Linked DNA regions of Pelodiscus sinensis. The protein of the gene in region 1 purifies or fractionates together with the protein of each later gene. This does not show direct contact. Links are inferred from orthologs where the notes say so. Each region holds a gene or a part of one and is shown in the gene's direction. Other genes may lie near its edges.

Region 1 (7,633 bases):
TTTCCAACCTAAACATTTAAGGATCAGAATATTAGCAATGACAAAGCTAGACAAAACTGAAGCATAGGGAACTTTGGATCACATGAAGATAAAATATGCTGCGTCAAATTATTAGCCAAATAAGGATAAAAGCTTTACATGATTATAAAATACCTGAGATTTAACAAATACACTCTCCAAACATTGTCCTCTGTCATCAAATAAGGTTGCCTGTATTGAAATAGGAGAATTTTAAATTTAACAAATGTGTGTTAAGAAGGAACCAGTGACACAAGTAGAAGCTGAAAAAGTGGTACTATTATGCACATGATACTGAATTAAACCTGAATTCTTCACCTTATTTCCTCCAGTAGTGGTTTTCAAAACTCCATCTTGCCATACTTTCGATTTTTTAGTCTTCTGATGAGTGTATAAGACCTTATATTATAAAAAACATGTATATACTGAAATGATTTAGTAGTCATACAAGCCAAGCATATGTGAAATTTGACTATATCTTATATATAATTGTACTTAAAAATAAGACTCACAGTAAACTCCTGACAAGCCATTGCTTTGATGAAACACAGCAATCCAAAGGTTTGCAATGCATATATTCAGATCTTCATACTACTCAAAAAAAAGGGGGGGGGGCATATTTAGAATTCAACTCAGCTGCAAGGCAAGTGTGTCAAACAAAAAAGATACACATCCAGTGCTTTCCCTTAAAGAGTGGGTAAAAACAGGGTAGTGATGCTTGTGAGGGAATATTGGAGTGCTAAAGACTTGTATTCTAAACATAAACTAACAAAAGTAAAGATTAATAGCAGAAATAGCTTTTGTTTAAATATTAATATCAAGAAGAGATCTACTTTTTTAGAAACCTGAACATCTGCAACTACTATTCATTTTAATGGAAGTTGTGGCTCAAAATCATTTTTCAGATAAGTAGGTATTTTTATTTTAGCTGGCTCTTTGAAAACTATTAGCCTAATAATCTTATCAGAACATATAATCTACTACTAAAAAATTAACCAAACTTTCATGTCTCTAATGAGGCTTCATTTTGGGGTATCTAATTTTGAAACCCTCAAATCAATAATCACCCATAAAAAACTTGGCCTAAAGTAGTCAACAGTAATCAAAGCTTTATATAAACACTTCATCATTTTCAAACCTTATGACACACAAATACAGTAGAAAATTAACTGTCAAATATCATAACTTGTACTTGCATGTAAAGAGTTGCACTTAACATTGGGATCTTAATCATAATTATCAATTACTGACACTTCAATTAAAACCACAACCACAGGAACACAGCTAACACTGGCAATTGCTCTAACTTCTTGAAATTACTGGCTGACTGCATAGACAGCAACACAAGTGATAAAGAAATTGTTAAAAGCAATCACACATAAGAAAAGGCATATGAGAAGACAAAGCAGCTATTATAGGAAGATATTAGACTAGAGATTAATTAAGCAATAGTTCATGGGATTTAAGAATTCTTAGTACATTTTTAACATTTAGAATAAGTAGAGATAGGATGAAAAAAACTCATAGGATACCTTTTTGGGGATGAACTAGGAAATTATATTTGAGAAATAATACACTGATTGCGTTACTAGCAGATAAACAGATTCAATTAGCATTCTACATATGTGGTTTTTTATTCCATTGTAAATACATTTATTAAAAGAGGAAATATATTCACACTTTTTCTCATGACAGTGGCTCTCAAGCTATAATAGCTTTTTCATTAAAAATTCCAGTTTTAAAGTGTCTTGTCTTTCAACTTCTTAAATGCTACACACTCGCCACAAGGTGGCTCAGAACATTTACTTTACGTTTATTCTTCTCAGTCATGGTACTGTTTAGAAAGATGTATGGAAAGATCATGTTTCCAACTGTGCAATTCACAGATTGACCATTCTTGTAACAATACCAGAAGAGCTGTCTTCACTTCCCCTTACTTGATCTGATAATGGCTTGATTTAGCATTGTTTACAGAAAGATGGTTACTTTAGAGCAGAATAGGAATTTTCAGATAGTCTTTCTCTTTCCTAGTAATAAAATGGAACAATAAGAATGGAAATGATAGAATCTGTCAAGCAGTCCATGGGTGGGTGGCATGGATCAGCCTTTGTGTTGCACTCCCCCTCAGTACCTGATGCAATCTGGGAAAGTTAATGATTAGAGGCCTGCACAGATACAAAATAGTATCTGCATCCAATCTTCTATTCACAAACAGGGGCTGTGGATATAAGGAGACTGGCAGAGCTTTACTAATGATCCAACCACATGACCAAACTTAATGAATGAAGATGAATCCTGGTCCTCTGTCACCTGAGGCACATTGTGCATATGCTAAGAAGAGTAAACAGCTAGACCATTTTGAAGTAGACTGAATAATAGAGCCACCACTACAGATACATTGGTTTATTAATTCCTGAAAGAATATAATGGCAGCTGCTGAAAGCCTTAATGACCTAAAATAAATCAGTAAGGCAATGTCTACACTCGCAGCTTCTTGCGCAAGTATGGCCATTCTTGCGCAAGAATCCGCAGAGCAGCCATACTGCCTGCCCGCTCTTGCACAAGGAAATTTACAGTACGGTGTGGTAAGAGAGGGCTTCTTGCACAAGAGCTATGCTCTTTTTTAACAGGTGTAAGCCTTCTTGCGCAGGAGCTCTTATACAAGAGGGTATTGTGGACGCTCAGCAGGGATTTCTTATACAAGAAAGCCCTATGGCTAAAATGGCCATCAGAGCTTTCTTGCACAAGAGAGCACCCACACTGCTATGGGCACTGTTGCGCAAAAGCACAGCTTGCACATGGCAGTGTGGACATTTTCTTGCGCAAGACTTCTTGCACAAGAACCCTTGCGCAAGATGTTCTTGCACAAGAAGCCGCCAGTGTAGACATAGCCCCAGTGTGGTAATACTTAAAAATAAGACCCTACTGTATAACGTCTTTCACAGAAACTACCTCAAAATGTAACAGAAGCAAAGAAAGAGACATTGAAAGGAACACAATCACGTTTTTTCATTCAGATCTAGTATCAGAGTTTTTATGGTCCTTTCTTCATTCAGCACACTGTCAACCTGTGGAACTCCTTGCCAGAGGATGGGAAGACTAGGACTTTAACATGGTTCAAAAAAGAGCTAGGAGGTTAGGTCCATCAATGACTATTAGCCAGGATTGGTAGGAATGGTGTCCTTAGCCTCTGTTTGTCTGGAAATGGGGGACAGGAGAGGGATCATGTGAGGATTATCTTTTGTGTTCCCTCCCTCTGGTATTAGCCACTGATGGCAGACAGGATACTGCGCTAGGTGGACCTTTTGGTCTGACCCAGTATGGTGATTCTTATATTCTTATGAAAGGACTGGTACCAATATAAACTGTACTCATATATTCTGTGTAGAGTGTAAAACATTATAATTTTGCTCTCATATCACTCCCCTCATGGCAAAGGTGATTAACAGTTACTCTCTCAAACCATTTAGTAGAGAATTGTCAGAAACACTCCATGTCCAAATACTGGTCTTAGGGAAGTCTATGGGAATTTGACCACTGACTTCAATAATAGCAGAATTCACCCAATGCTGAGTGAGTGCTTTTAAAAATCCCAATGTTAAAAACCAATGGTTTTTACACATGAAAGTTGATTACTAGTGTAGCTGAAGTTGTTAACATTTCAAAGTCAGCTGGAGTGAAGCCAGCGCCAGGACTTATTTTTCTGCCTAAAAGCAAGGTTCTATAATTTTTAAATTTTCTTTTATCTACACGAGGTTTTTTTTAAGTGGAGCAGACCTGGCTACAACACATCCTACATCGGGAGCATGGTGACAGAAAGCACCAAAACCTGCAACGGAAAAGAGTTGGGCTTCTGCTCGCCCCCCCCCCCCCCCCCCCGCGCGCTGGAGCCTCATCGTTTTGGGCACTGTACAGACATGGGGCAGAGGCAGTTCCTGCTAGGGCAGTGGTTCCCAAACTTTTTGGCATCACGCCCCCCTTTTTGATTTCTGAGAAACTCCTGCCCCCCCCCCCCCCGCCCAAAAAATAGCAGCAAAACTTGGAGTGGGATTGTCGGGGGGGAGGGGCTGGGTCGCCTCGCCCCCCCGTTTGGGAGCCCATGCTAGGGAGAGCCTGGTTGCGCAATACTTTGTAACCTCTGCATTTCAAACACCAGCGAGGCCGGAGGAGGCTGGTACCGGGAGGGGAGAGTAAAAATGCTGCGGGGGGGGGGGGGGGGGGACACGGGACGGCCTGTGGCTCTGCTGTGCGATGCCCGACGTTGCGCGTCGCTGACAGCCCGCTCCTGTGGGTGCAGGCAGGGAGCCCGCAGGGCCGCTGCTCTCCTAGTCCTGCCGGGGGGGCTAAACCTCCTTCCGCCCCCCCCCCCCCGGCTCTTTCCCAAGCCGCCTGGCGCGGATGGCCGAGCCTCTCGCTCTGCAGACGCCGATGGGGGGGGGGGCAGAGCGCGGGGAGCGGACCAGCGTCACCTCCTCTCCCCTCCCCCCCCCGCGCGGCACCTCTCGAGCTCTCGGCTCCTCGCCCTGGTTTGAAGCTTTCCCGCGCCGCCAGCTACCGATGACGCTATTTTCCGGCGCCACGGCAGAGAATAGCCCCTCGCGCCGCCGGCCCGCGCTCGGAAGTGCGTCGCGCGCGGGGGGGGCGCCGATCTGGTAAGCCGGCGGCAGGGCAGGCGGGGGCTTTTCTTGCTGCGGCTGAGCGTCGCGCGCTGGCGGTGACGCTGCTGCAGCTCAGGAGAGGCGGGGGGCCCTGTAGGAGTTGGCGGCGGCGGCGGCGGCAGGTGAGAGCCCGGCTCTACGCACCGGGCGCGGGAAGGGGGGAAGCGCGGTGAACTAGGAACACTGTTAACCCTCTCCGCCCCGCCGGCAGGGGGCGCTGCGCGGGGGCTTCGCGCATGCGTCAGGCTCGTGGGCGGGGCGGGGCATTGGCGGCGCGTGGGGGCCGCGGGGGGCTCTGCGGACAGACTGAAGAGCGCTTTTGCCTAGAGCCGCGCAGTCCGGCACCCGCCGTGAACAGCGCCGCCTGCAGGGGGGGAGGGGCGTCCCCAAAGTTCTTTTGTCCCTGGGACAGGTTCAGAAAAGGGGCCGCGAGAGCGCTGAGGCCACGGGAAGAGAGAGATGAAGAAGACTGGGTGCTTGATAGGACAGAGCTCTATAAAATCATGGCGGGTGGAGAAAGTGAATTCGGGATAAAGGCATGTAATTGTTCCCATAGCCTATGAACTAGCCACCCCCAAACGAAACTAATAGCAGTTTTAAAACAAACAGAAGGAAGTAGTTCTTCATGCAGCACACAGCCAATCTGTGGAACTCCTTGCCAGAGGATGCTGTTAAGGCCAGGATTTTAACAGGGTTCAAAAAAAGAACTAGAGACATTCATGGGGGATTGGGCCATCAATGGCTATTAGCCAGGATGAGTAGGAATGATGTGCCTAGCCTCTGTCAGAAGCTGGGAGTGGGCAATAGGGGTGGGATCACTTCATTATTACCAGTTCTGTTCATTCCCTCTGTGGGCACCTGGCATGGCTAGATGGACCTTTGGCCTGAGCCAGTATGGCCGCTCTTATGTTCTTACATTCGTCACTTTTGTCCGTCAGGGCTTGAGGGAGTGACTCCAAAGTACTGTTGCTATCCCCCTCCGTCTGAGCCCTTTCCCAACAATTTGGAATGAGGCCACTGGCAGGAGGGGCAGTTTTGGGATCAGCGCACAGGTGTAGCGAAGAAGCTGCCTTCTGTCCTGCTAGGGTTGGTACTGGCTTCTCCAGCCATGTCTGCACCGCAGTAGAAACTCTGACTTTGGGACTCAGGCTTGTGCACTTGGTGAAGCATCCACGCTGTATTGTAAAGCTGGGCTTTTAGTTACTGGAGCTGGGTTAACTAGTCCAGCGTGCACTACGTAGATGTTCTGAATTGGGTCTGGCTACGGCTGCTGCCATGCTACGAAATGATAGGGTTTAGACACAGAGAGAATCAGACTCTTTCCCTCCTCCCTCCCTTGGATGGTCCCCAAGAGCTGGGTCCCAAGTGCTTGTTGTTTAATGTTAGGTAGACATGTGAGTGGATGAGAGGAGAGGTGGGCTTGAACCTGAGTCTGAGCCCAAATTTCCAATGCAATATAGCACATACTTTAAATGACTGCAATCCAAATTCTACTCCAGAGTCCCCAATTAAGTTAACCCTACTGTAATGCAAAACCAAAAATGTTATCGACTACATGATTAGTCAAGAAGGGAAGGTACTCATTCCTGGTTCATGCCGGGTCTGGGAGTTATGCCCCCCTGAAGCTCTACAGTTTCAATATAGCAAGACATTTAAACTGCACAGTCGCACGGGGAAAACAGGGAGCTCCTGGACCTGACAAAAGCCAGGACTGAGCCAAGCTTGCTCAGTCCCGGCTGCTGCCAGAGCAGCCTTTGTTAATGGCCAGCCCAGGCTGCTGTGAACAGGGGCTGATCCACAGGATGCGGAGCAGCCTTTGCCCGTGGCAAGCCTGGCCTGCCGTGGGCAGAGGCTGCTTCAAGCATCCCCCTCCTCCCACATTGCTGCTTCTGTTAGAGGCAGCAGTGCAGGAAGTGGGGGCAGGCGAGGAGATCTGGCTCCCCCCAGTTTCGGCTCCAGCTCTCCCAAAGGGGGGGAGGGGATTTGGGTAGTCAACTCGACTATCCGATAAGCTGAGGTTTACCAGGTAATCAGCTACTCGACTGCTTGCTTACATCCCTAATTCATAAGTTTTCATTATTGTTCATTTCTGTGCTTTGCTTCTTTGTACATAACACACTGCTCCATTTCAGTCTTGTATTTAAATTACTGGGGCAGCTGATGTTCATGCTAGTTGGAATTGAGCTAGAATTAGAAAATGCTCCACGCAGTAGATGCATTGATGCTGGTTTTAATGTAGTTATGTAAAAAACAAGTAGTTCTGATGACGCTAGAACAGGATATCGCTATAGCTACTTTGAGCAAGAAAATGGAAAAAATGTGTGTATTTTGGTGAGTGCCCCATTTATAAGACAATATTAGGAGTGCAAACTTTTATGATCTTTTGGGCATTTTCTATGACATTATTGTGGTTGAAACCTAAGTGACGTTTTTGTACAATTCTTTGTTTTTAAAGTACAAATCCAAGTCTGATTCACCTAATGAAAATATTTTTATGAACGTCAATTGTTTATTTGGTGTCAACATCGAGTCACTGTAAACCTAAGTAGTGAATGACTCAAAGGGAATGAGTTTCTTCTTCCAAAATAAATTTTTTAGTTTGTGAATTTTACATGTGGAGTGCCAGAAATGATAAATGTTTATGCAATAGTATGTAAATGAAAAAATGTCTGGGTCCATTCAAAAGCACCTGATGGTCTGGATTTGGCCCATGGTCTGCCTATTAACTGCCCTTGCTTGCTTTGTGGGATCACTTTTCTTCTTACCAGAGCTGTGGCTCTTCCCTGCTTCCCCGTGTGTTCATCCGCCAATACAGCTTAATATGTGCTGCTGAGCTGGCATCAACCAGTGCAGCTGAGCAGGCATGTTGAGGAAAAGTATCTTGGCCAGGTATTAGAGCTCATCTTCATTTCTCATCCTCTTTCTTTCCTTGGTTATCTTATTTGGACTCTGAGTCC
Region 2 (6,992 bases), on another chromosome or scaffold:
GAATAAGTGCATCCAGACAGGGAGTTAAAATCAGGAGTAGTGAACCCATAGTAAACTGCAGTGATCTTGTAGTCATATTGGTCCCAGGATACCAAACAAGCAAGATGGGTGAGGCAGTATCTTTTATTGGATTAACTTCAGCTGATGAAAGACAACTGTTCAAGTATATGCAGAGCTCTTCTTCAGTTCTGGGAAAGGCATTCGGAGTGTTACAGCTAAATACAAGTGTAGAACAGGTAAGGAGTAAACATGTATTGCAAGCGGCCACTCAGGATACATCCACACTGCAGAGCTATTTCGGGATACCGGAAGTATCCCAAAATAGCTATTCCATGTCTATTGAAGCAGCCCGTTATTTCGAAATCAATTTTGAAATCACAGGCCGCTTATTCCGACGTCCTGGTAACCCTTGTTCCATGAGGGTTATGGGGCATTTTGGAATAGTGAGTTATTTTGAAATACACTCAAAATAAGCTATGCAATTTGCGTAGCGCAATTTGTGTAGCTAATTCTGAGTGAAGAGTGCTGTATAGACACACCCGCAGAGAGAAGTGAGCAACTAACTCTACTACAGTCACAGGACAAAGAAGAAACAGTGGGTTACAGATAGTTATGAGCCACTATAACTTCACATCCTGTCTTATTCCAGATTAATTTTCCCATGTGCAGACAAACCCCAGAGCCTGCTGTAGCTGCCCCACCCGTCCTACAGACGGGATGGTCCCTCATAATGACATTAGCCCACAAGGTCCAGGATGGGTCTGAAGGATAACTTGGGGGAGGGGGAGAGGAGGAGGGCTGGCTCTGGGCAGTAGCAAAGGTTGGCATCCCTATCCCACTCACAGGCAGCCTGCTCCACTCTGCCGCCATCTCCCAGTTAGCTCGCTCCACTTCACTGCAGCAGCAGGAAGTGGAGTGACTCTGGTTCCACTTCGCTGCAACAGCAGGAAATGGAGTGACTCAGCTAGGAGATGGGTAGCAGGGCAGAAGAGAAAATGCTGCTGGGTACACAGTGGGGGGGGGGGGGGGGGGACTTGACCCTTGCTGCTGCCCTATGCCAAACCCCCTGTAATCTCACAGATAGCATCACCTGGAGGCAGGGGCTTTGGGAAAGGGTTGCATTGGAGGCAAGGCAGGGACAGGGCTTGGGGAAGGGGTGGAGTAGGGGCCGGGCGGGGCAAAATGGGTTGCAGAGCAGAGTACAGTTTGTGGCCCCCCAATCAGGCAGCCATGGATGGGCAGTTACAGAGGATGGTGAAGGTAGAGAAAGGAATGAGGGTTGTTTGAGGGGAGAAAGGGCTGCCTGAGAGCTATAGATCTTTGTGTGGGAAGATGAGGAGGGCTAAAGGGGGGGGGATGTTTTCAGGGGACAGGGCAGTAGAGCTGGGGGATTGTTTGCAGGACATGGGTGGGGGGAGATAGGGGAATTGCAGGGAATCTTGGGGAGGAAGTTGAAGGAGATCCCAGGGGGGTAGTGACAAGCATAAGAGGGTGCGTGGCAGAAGATTGGGGGGAGGATATAAGATCTGTGGTGGGCAGCTGGTGGGGTGAGTTGCAGAGGATTTTTCTGAGGAAGAGATTTGCAGGGGATCCAAGAGATGGACACAGAGGATGCAGGGCATTGGAGGGAGTGCATGAGGGGAGGTTTGCAGGAGACTGGGATTAGCAGGAATTGTGGTTAGTGGGATTTATAGATATCCAGGAGGGACTGAGCAGTAGGGAACAAGATGTTGCAGAGAACCAGCTGGCTTTTAGCTCAAGCTGCTGACACACTAATCCAGAGGTCCCAGGTTCGGTTCTCACTAAAACAGCAGGCAAGTGGGGATAGGGAGAACCCCAGATGAAGGGCTGTTGACAGAGAAATGGAGGGGATCTCAGGGAAAAACAGCAGGGGAAGGGTTGAGGGGGAGCACAGGGACTATTGCAGGGAACAGAGGGGCTGAAGGACAGGACAGGGCAGGGCAGCTAGTACAAGGGGTAGGAGCAGCATGAGAAGCTCGTGGGGAGTCAGCGAGGGGGGCTGCAGGAGCAGTGAGGGGCTGACAAGGATCTGGGTGGGAAAGGGAGGAGGAGGGGCGGGGGGAGAGGGCAGCACAGGAGATGTGGCAGAGACAGAGCTGAGAAGTTTCCAGGACAAGGGAGCGCAGGAATGCGGGGCGGGAGCAGAACGAAGGATTTACAGCGGGACTGCGGGAGGCCGGGGGGGAGGCGCAGAGAGGGGATGGGGGGCACAACACGGGGGGGTTGTAGCACGGGGGCGGGGGGGGCACAGGCCGAGGAAAGGGCAGGGTGGGGGGGGCAAGGCAGAGGCACGGGGGGGAGGCAGCGGGGGGCGGGGCGATGGGGGGGCACCGCCCGCGGGGGGGGCAGGGCGGGGGATGGGGAGCGGGGGGGGCAGAGGCCGAGGGGGACGCGAGGGGGCGGGGCTCGGCTCCCCCAGCCCAGACTCGGGGGCGCGCCCCGTGTCCCAGCCGCCTCCCCCCCCCAGCCCAGAGCGGGGCGCCGATTGTCCCGCCCATCGGGAGGAAACAACCCGACACCGCGCGCCCTTTGGCCCGCCGCGCCATCAATCAACCGGGAAGGCCCCGCCCTTTCCCCCCAGGCGGCGCCCCATTGGCGCAGCCGGCTGCCACTCCCAACTCCCGCGCGACGGGCACCAGCACCCCCCACTGCCCGTCACGCGCCTCTGCCCCGCCCCCGCCCCTCCATTGGCCGGCCGAGCTGTCCGTCAGTGGCCGCGGGCCCGCCCCCTAACCCCTTTCATTCCGCACAATGAGCCCGTCTCCCCCTCCGCCCCGAGCCCAGCAGCCCGATGTCCCGGCTCAGCCGCCCCGCCGCCGCCCGGGTACCTGGGGACGAAGCGGGTCCGGCGCGGACTCCCCCCTCTCGCAGGCCCTCAGAGCCGAGGCCGCTTCTGCGCAACGCTCGCCGCCCGCCAAAATAGCCCCCCTAGCGCGCAGGCGCCTGGCTCCCCGCACGGCGCATGCGCGGCCCGTCCTCTCCCTCCCCCCGCCTCTTCGGGCGCTTGCTCCGGGTTCCGCTAGCGCATGCGCAGACGAGCACCTGTGGGCTTTAGTCCCTTTTTCCCGCAGGCTGCCAGGCAGGAGCCCGGCTCCGCACGTTCCACAGAGGCAAAGCGCGCGGGCTGGTGCTAGGGAGAAAAAGCCGCTCGCCCCCCGCCTCAATGGGAGCCGCCTCCGCCCCCACCCGAGTGATTGACACTGCCGCCATCCAGTCAAGTCCCACGTCTAGCGGCAGCAGCCAATCACTGCGCAGATTAGAGCGGGACTGTCCATGAGCGAACCAATCAGAGGCGAGCTACAGCCTCTCGCCAGTAACGCGGGAAAAGGTTGGGGGAGGGAGGAAGGGAGGGAAGGCACGCACGGCCACGTGATGCGTCAATAGGCGGGGCTTACGCAGGCTTAGCCAGTAGGCTGTAGCAGTGGGTGGGTCACGGATCTCCTCCGCCAATGAGATGTGTCGGCCTCTCGTGGCTATCCAATCGGAGGCGGGGAGGGGGTGTGCCCCGACCGCCGCCTCCAATGGGAGCGCGCGGCGGGCGGGGCTCTAAGAGGGGGCGGTGGAGTGAGGCGTCGACGCTCTCGTCATTCAGCCCTTTCTGTATCGGCGCCTCGCGGAGGAAGCATCGCACGCGCAGCACTTCTGAGGCGGAGGCCCGCGCCCGCCCGCCCCCGCCATGTCCAAGTCCGAGGTGAGCCCGGCTCCGGCCGCCATTTTCTCCGCTCCCCGCCGCCGGCGCGGCCTCCCCTGGGCCCTGCTGGGGCGCGGACCTCGCCGCGTTCGGCCGCGCCTTACGCCTTTCAGGCCTGCTCGGGCTTCCGTCCAGCCCGCGGAGGCTCCCCCCCCTTCTGCGCCTGCGCCGCCTCAGCCTTCGCGCCTGCGCTTTACCCCCCTTCCCAGGTGGGCGGCCCTTCGGCGCCTGTGTGGTGGGGATATGGGGGGGGGGAGTGAGCCTCCCGCGCTCCCATGTGCGCGTGCGCGCCCGCCTTTGTGCAGAGCCGGAGGAGCGCCATGGCGGCCGGGCGAGCGCGTGGCGGGCCTCGCGTGCGCGTGCGTGGCGGCTCCCGCGCGCCAGGGCTGCAAGCCCTCTAGGGGGGAGGGGGGGTTGGTGTGCACGGGGGGGGCCCTCTGCGGGGGGAGGGGGAGGGGGGGTTGGTGTGCACGGGGGGGGCCCTCTGCGGGGGGAGGGGGAGGGGGGGTTGGTGTGCACGGGGGGGGCCCTCTGCGGGGGGAGGGGGAGGGGGGGGTTGGTGTGCACGGGGGGGGCCCTCTGCGGGGGGAGGGGGAGGGGGGGTTGGTGTGCACGGGGGGGGCCCTCTGCGGGGGGAGGGGTTGGTGTGCACGGGGGGGGCCCTCTGCGGGGGGAGGGGTTGGTGTGCACGGGGGGGGCCCTCTGCGGGGGGAGGGGGAGGGGGGGTTGGTGTGCAGGGGGGGGCCCTCTGCGGGGGGAGGGGGGTGGGGGGGTTGGTGTGCAGGGGGGGGCCCTCTGCGGGGGGAGGGGGTGGGGGGGTTGGTGTGCACGGGGGGGCCCTCTGGGGGGGGGAGGGTAGCCTGTAAGTCATTGTGCAATCTCTTGCTCTGGGCATCTCCTGGGGAGGGGGGAGCAGGGGACGGGCCCTGTTGGCTGCTCCTTCCTGACTCGTTTTTGTGCCTCTTCCCCAGTCCCCCAAGGAACCTGAGCAGCTGCGCAAGCTCTTCATCGGCGGCCTGAGCTTTGAGACCACAGACGAGAGCCTGCGGGGCCACTTCGAGCAATGGGGCACGCTGACAGACTGCGTGGTGAGTGCCTGGCCCAGAGCATCCTCTGGGTGTTAGATAATAACATTCAGATGTGGGGGAAGGACTCTGATTGCATGGCCCGGCTGCCTTTTTTTTTTTTTTTTTTTTTTTTTTGATGCCACGGGAAGAGCTGAATAATTTGTTTTTACTGACATCTGTAAACTACTGTTCCAGGGGAGTAAGGGGTCTAACGGCAAATTTAGGGTTAGACGGAATCCTGCAGAGGAATGGCCATGCTGTCCAGTAGCCTCTGTCTTCCAAGGGTGGCTGGTATCAAATGCAGTTTTAGAGGGAATGAGCAGAACAGGGAAATTACCAAATGATCCATGAGGTCCCAGCTTTGGGCAGAGGGAAAGTTGTAGGGCAAAGCTAGTGCTAAATAACTTTAGATGTTCCTTTGTTCTCGTCTTTATGCCACCTGTTTGATTCGTGTTATTTACTGTGGTTACTAATGGAGGTGTGTCCTTTCTAGGTAATGAGAGATCCAAATACCAAGCGCTCCAGGGGCTTTGGGTTTGTTACGTACTCTACGGTTGAAGAGGTTGATGCCGCCATGAATGCTAGACCACACAAAGTTGATGGCAGAGTTGTTGAACCAAAGAGGGCTGTATCCAGAGAGGTATGAATGAATGTTTAGTCTAACCATGCTGTTTTCATAGCCTGAAATTGGCTCACTGTTAGGATGAACTGATCCAGTGGGGCTCTGTAGGGAGGAGTTGAGGTTAAAGTGACCATAGTTTGGCTATAACCCAGGGGTTAAACTGAGGTGGGTCGTTTCCATTCTCTTTGTGGTTTGGGGAAAGCAGTACCCTGCTTACATTAATCGTGCTGTCTGTAACTGCCAATGCTGCGTTTCCTTGCTGTGCTGTCTACCAGAATATGTACTTAAAGCAGGACCACATTAGTAGTTACTACAGGTTGGACCTCCCTTGTCCGGTACCATTGGGACCCGACTGATCCCAGATGAGGGATTTTTCACAGGTCATTTCTGGCCCCCTGCTGTCTCCCCCACCCCCACCCCCTCGCTTTTTTCACAGCTCAGCTGGCTCCCACACCAGCTTTTGCCCTGCCTCTTCTCTCTCTCTCTCTCTTCCCCCCCCCCCCTTCCCTCGGCCAGGCTCCTGGACCCCCCACAGTGTGCCAGGACTGGGACATCTTGGAACATCTGTGGCCCGGAAGGGTTAGGGTTAAACCATTCTGGTTTATAGAGATGCATCCTGTACAAGTAATTGTAAATGGGGACCAGTTTAATTTGTGGTGGACACGTATCACGATTTTGCATTGTCTCTGTCTTTGAGCAATGGGACTGTTGCATTTCGAACCACTGTTTATGGAGCTCTAAAATTGTACATCTCAGATAATGCTTGAGCTTGCCCTCTGTCCTGTCTAGGATTCTCAGAGGCCTGGTGCTCACCTGACAGTGAAGAAAATCTTCGTGGGGGGAATTAAGGAAGACACAGAGGAACACCACCTGCGAGACTACTTTGAACAGTACGGCAAAATCGAAGTGATTGAGATCATGACAGACCGTGGGAGCGGCAAGAAGAGGGGCTTTGCATTTGTCACCTTTGATGACCACGACTCTGTGGACAAGATTGTTAGTAAGTTCTCTGCACAGCTCTGTGAACTGTAAAGATTGTATAGCATTGGAAGGGGACCCGTCCTGGGTTTCAAATCAGGACACGGTGACAGTTAACGTCTAATTCTTCCCTTCCAGTTCAGAAGTATCACACTGTGAACGGCCACAACTGCGAAGTGAGGAAAGCCCTGTCAAAGCAAGAAATGGCCAGTGCATCATCCAGTCAACGAGGTGAGTGCCAGTTTCCCATCCATTGCTTTGGAACTCATCCAAACCGACCTTTGGCAATATGAGCCGTGCTGCTAACAGGCGCTGCTCTCTTCTTTAGGCCGCAGTGGCTCTGGGAACTTCAGTGGTGGTGGCGGCCGTGGAGGTGGATTTGGTGGCAATGACAACTTCAACCGTGGCAGCAACTTCAGTGGTCGTGGTAAGGGACTTTATGGGGTCCTTTTGATTCAAGTTCTACGGATATGGTCAGGCTAACAAAACTCCAGTTTCGGCCCCTAGGTTAACCCAAATGGCTGCTGCAGTTTTGGCTATGGATATTTTTTTAACTTGATTTGGGCACTGGACTAAGTGTAATTCTCCTTGTTTGGCTCATGCGTTCAAACCA

Evidence for each region. The genes of interacting proteins can lie anywhere in the genome.
Region 2: the proteins of LARP7 (region 1) and HNRNPA1 purify together in Homo sapiens (affinity purification with mass spectrometry; 4 studies listed by BioGRID). This does not show direct contact. The link is inferred for Pelodiscus sinensis from reciprocal best matches to the Homo sapiens genes LARP7 and HNRNPA1.

What each region holds. Positions count from the first base shown.
Region 1 is NC_134715.1:31,430,766-31,438,398, forward strand, and holds the start of LARP7 (la-related protein 7), read left to right. Parts: upstream 1-4,534; 5' UTR 4,535-4,670; exon of another isoform or gene 4,671-4,798; intron 4,799-7,633. Other genes in the region: 5'-3' DNA helicase ZGRF1, read right to left, coding at 154-210, 337-417, 531-551. UniProt on the Homo sapiens protein: RNA-binding protein that specifically binds distinct small nuclear RNA (snRNAs) and regulates their processing and function.
Region 2 is NC_134729.1:1,218,280-1,225,271, forward strand, and holds the start of HNRNPA1 (heterogeneous nuclear ribonucleoprotein A1), read left to right. Parts: upstream 1-3,939; 5' UTR 3,940-3,987; coding exon 3,988-4,071; intron 4,072-4,683; coding exon 4,684-4,800; intron 4,801-5,272; coding exon 5,273-5,419; intron 5,420-6,190; coding exon 6,191-6,401; intron 6,402-6,517; coding exon 6,518-6,610; intron 6,611-6,707; coding exon 6,708-6,806; intron 6,807-6,992. UniProt on the Homo sapiens protein: Involved in the packaging of pre-mRNA into hnRNP particles, transport of poly(A) mRNA from the nucleus to the cytoplasm and modulation of splice site selection.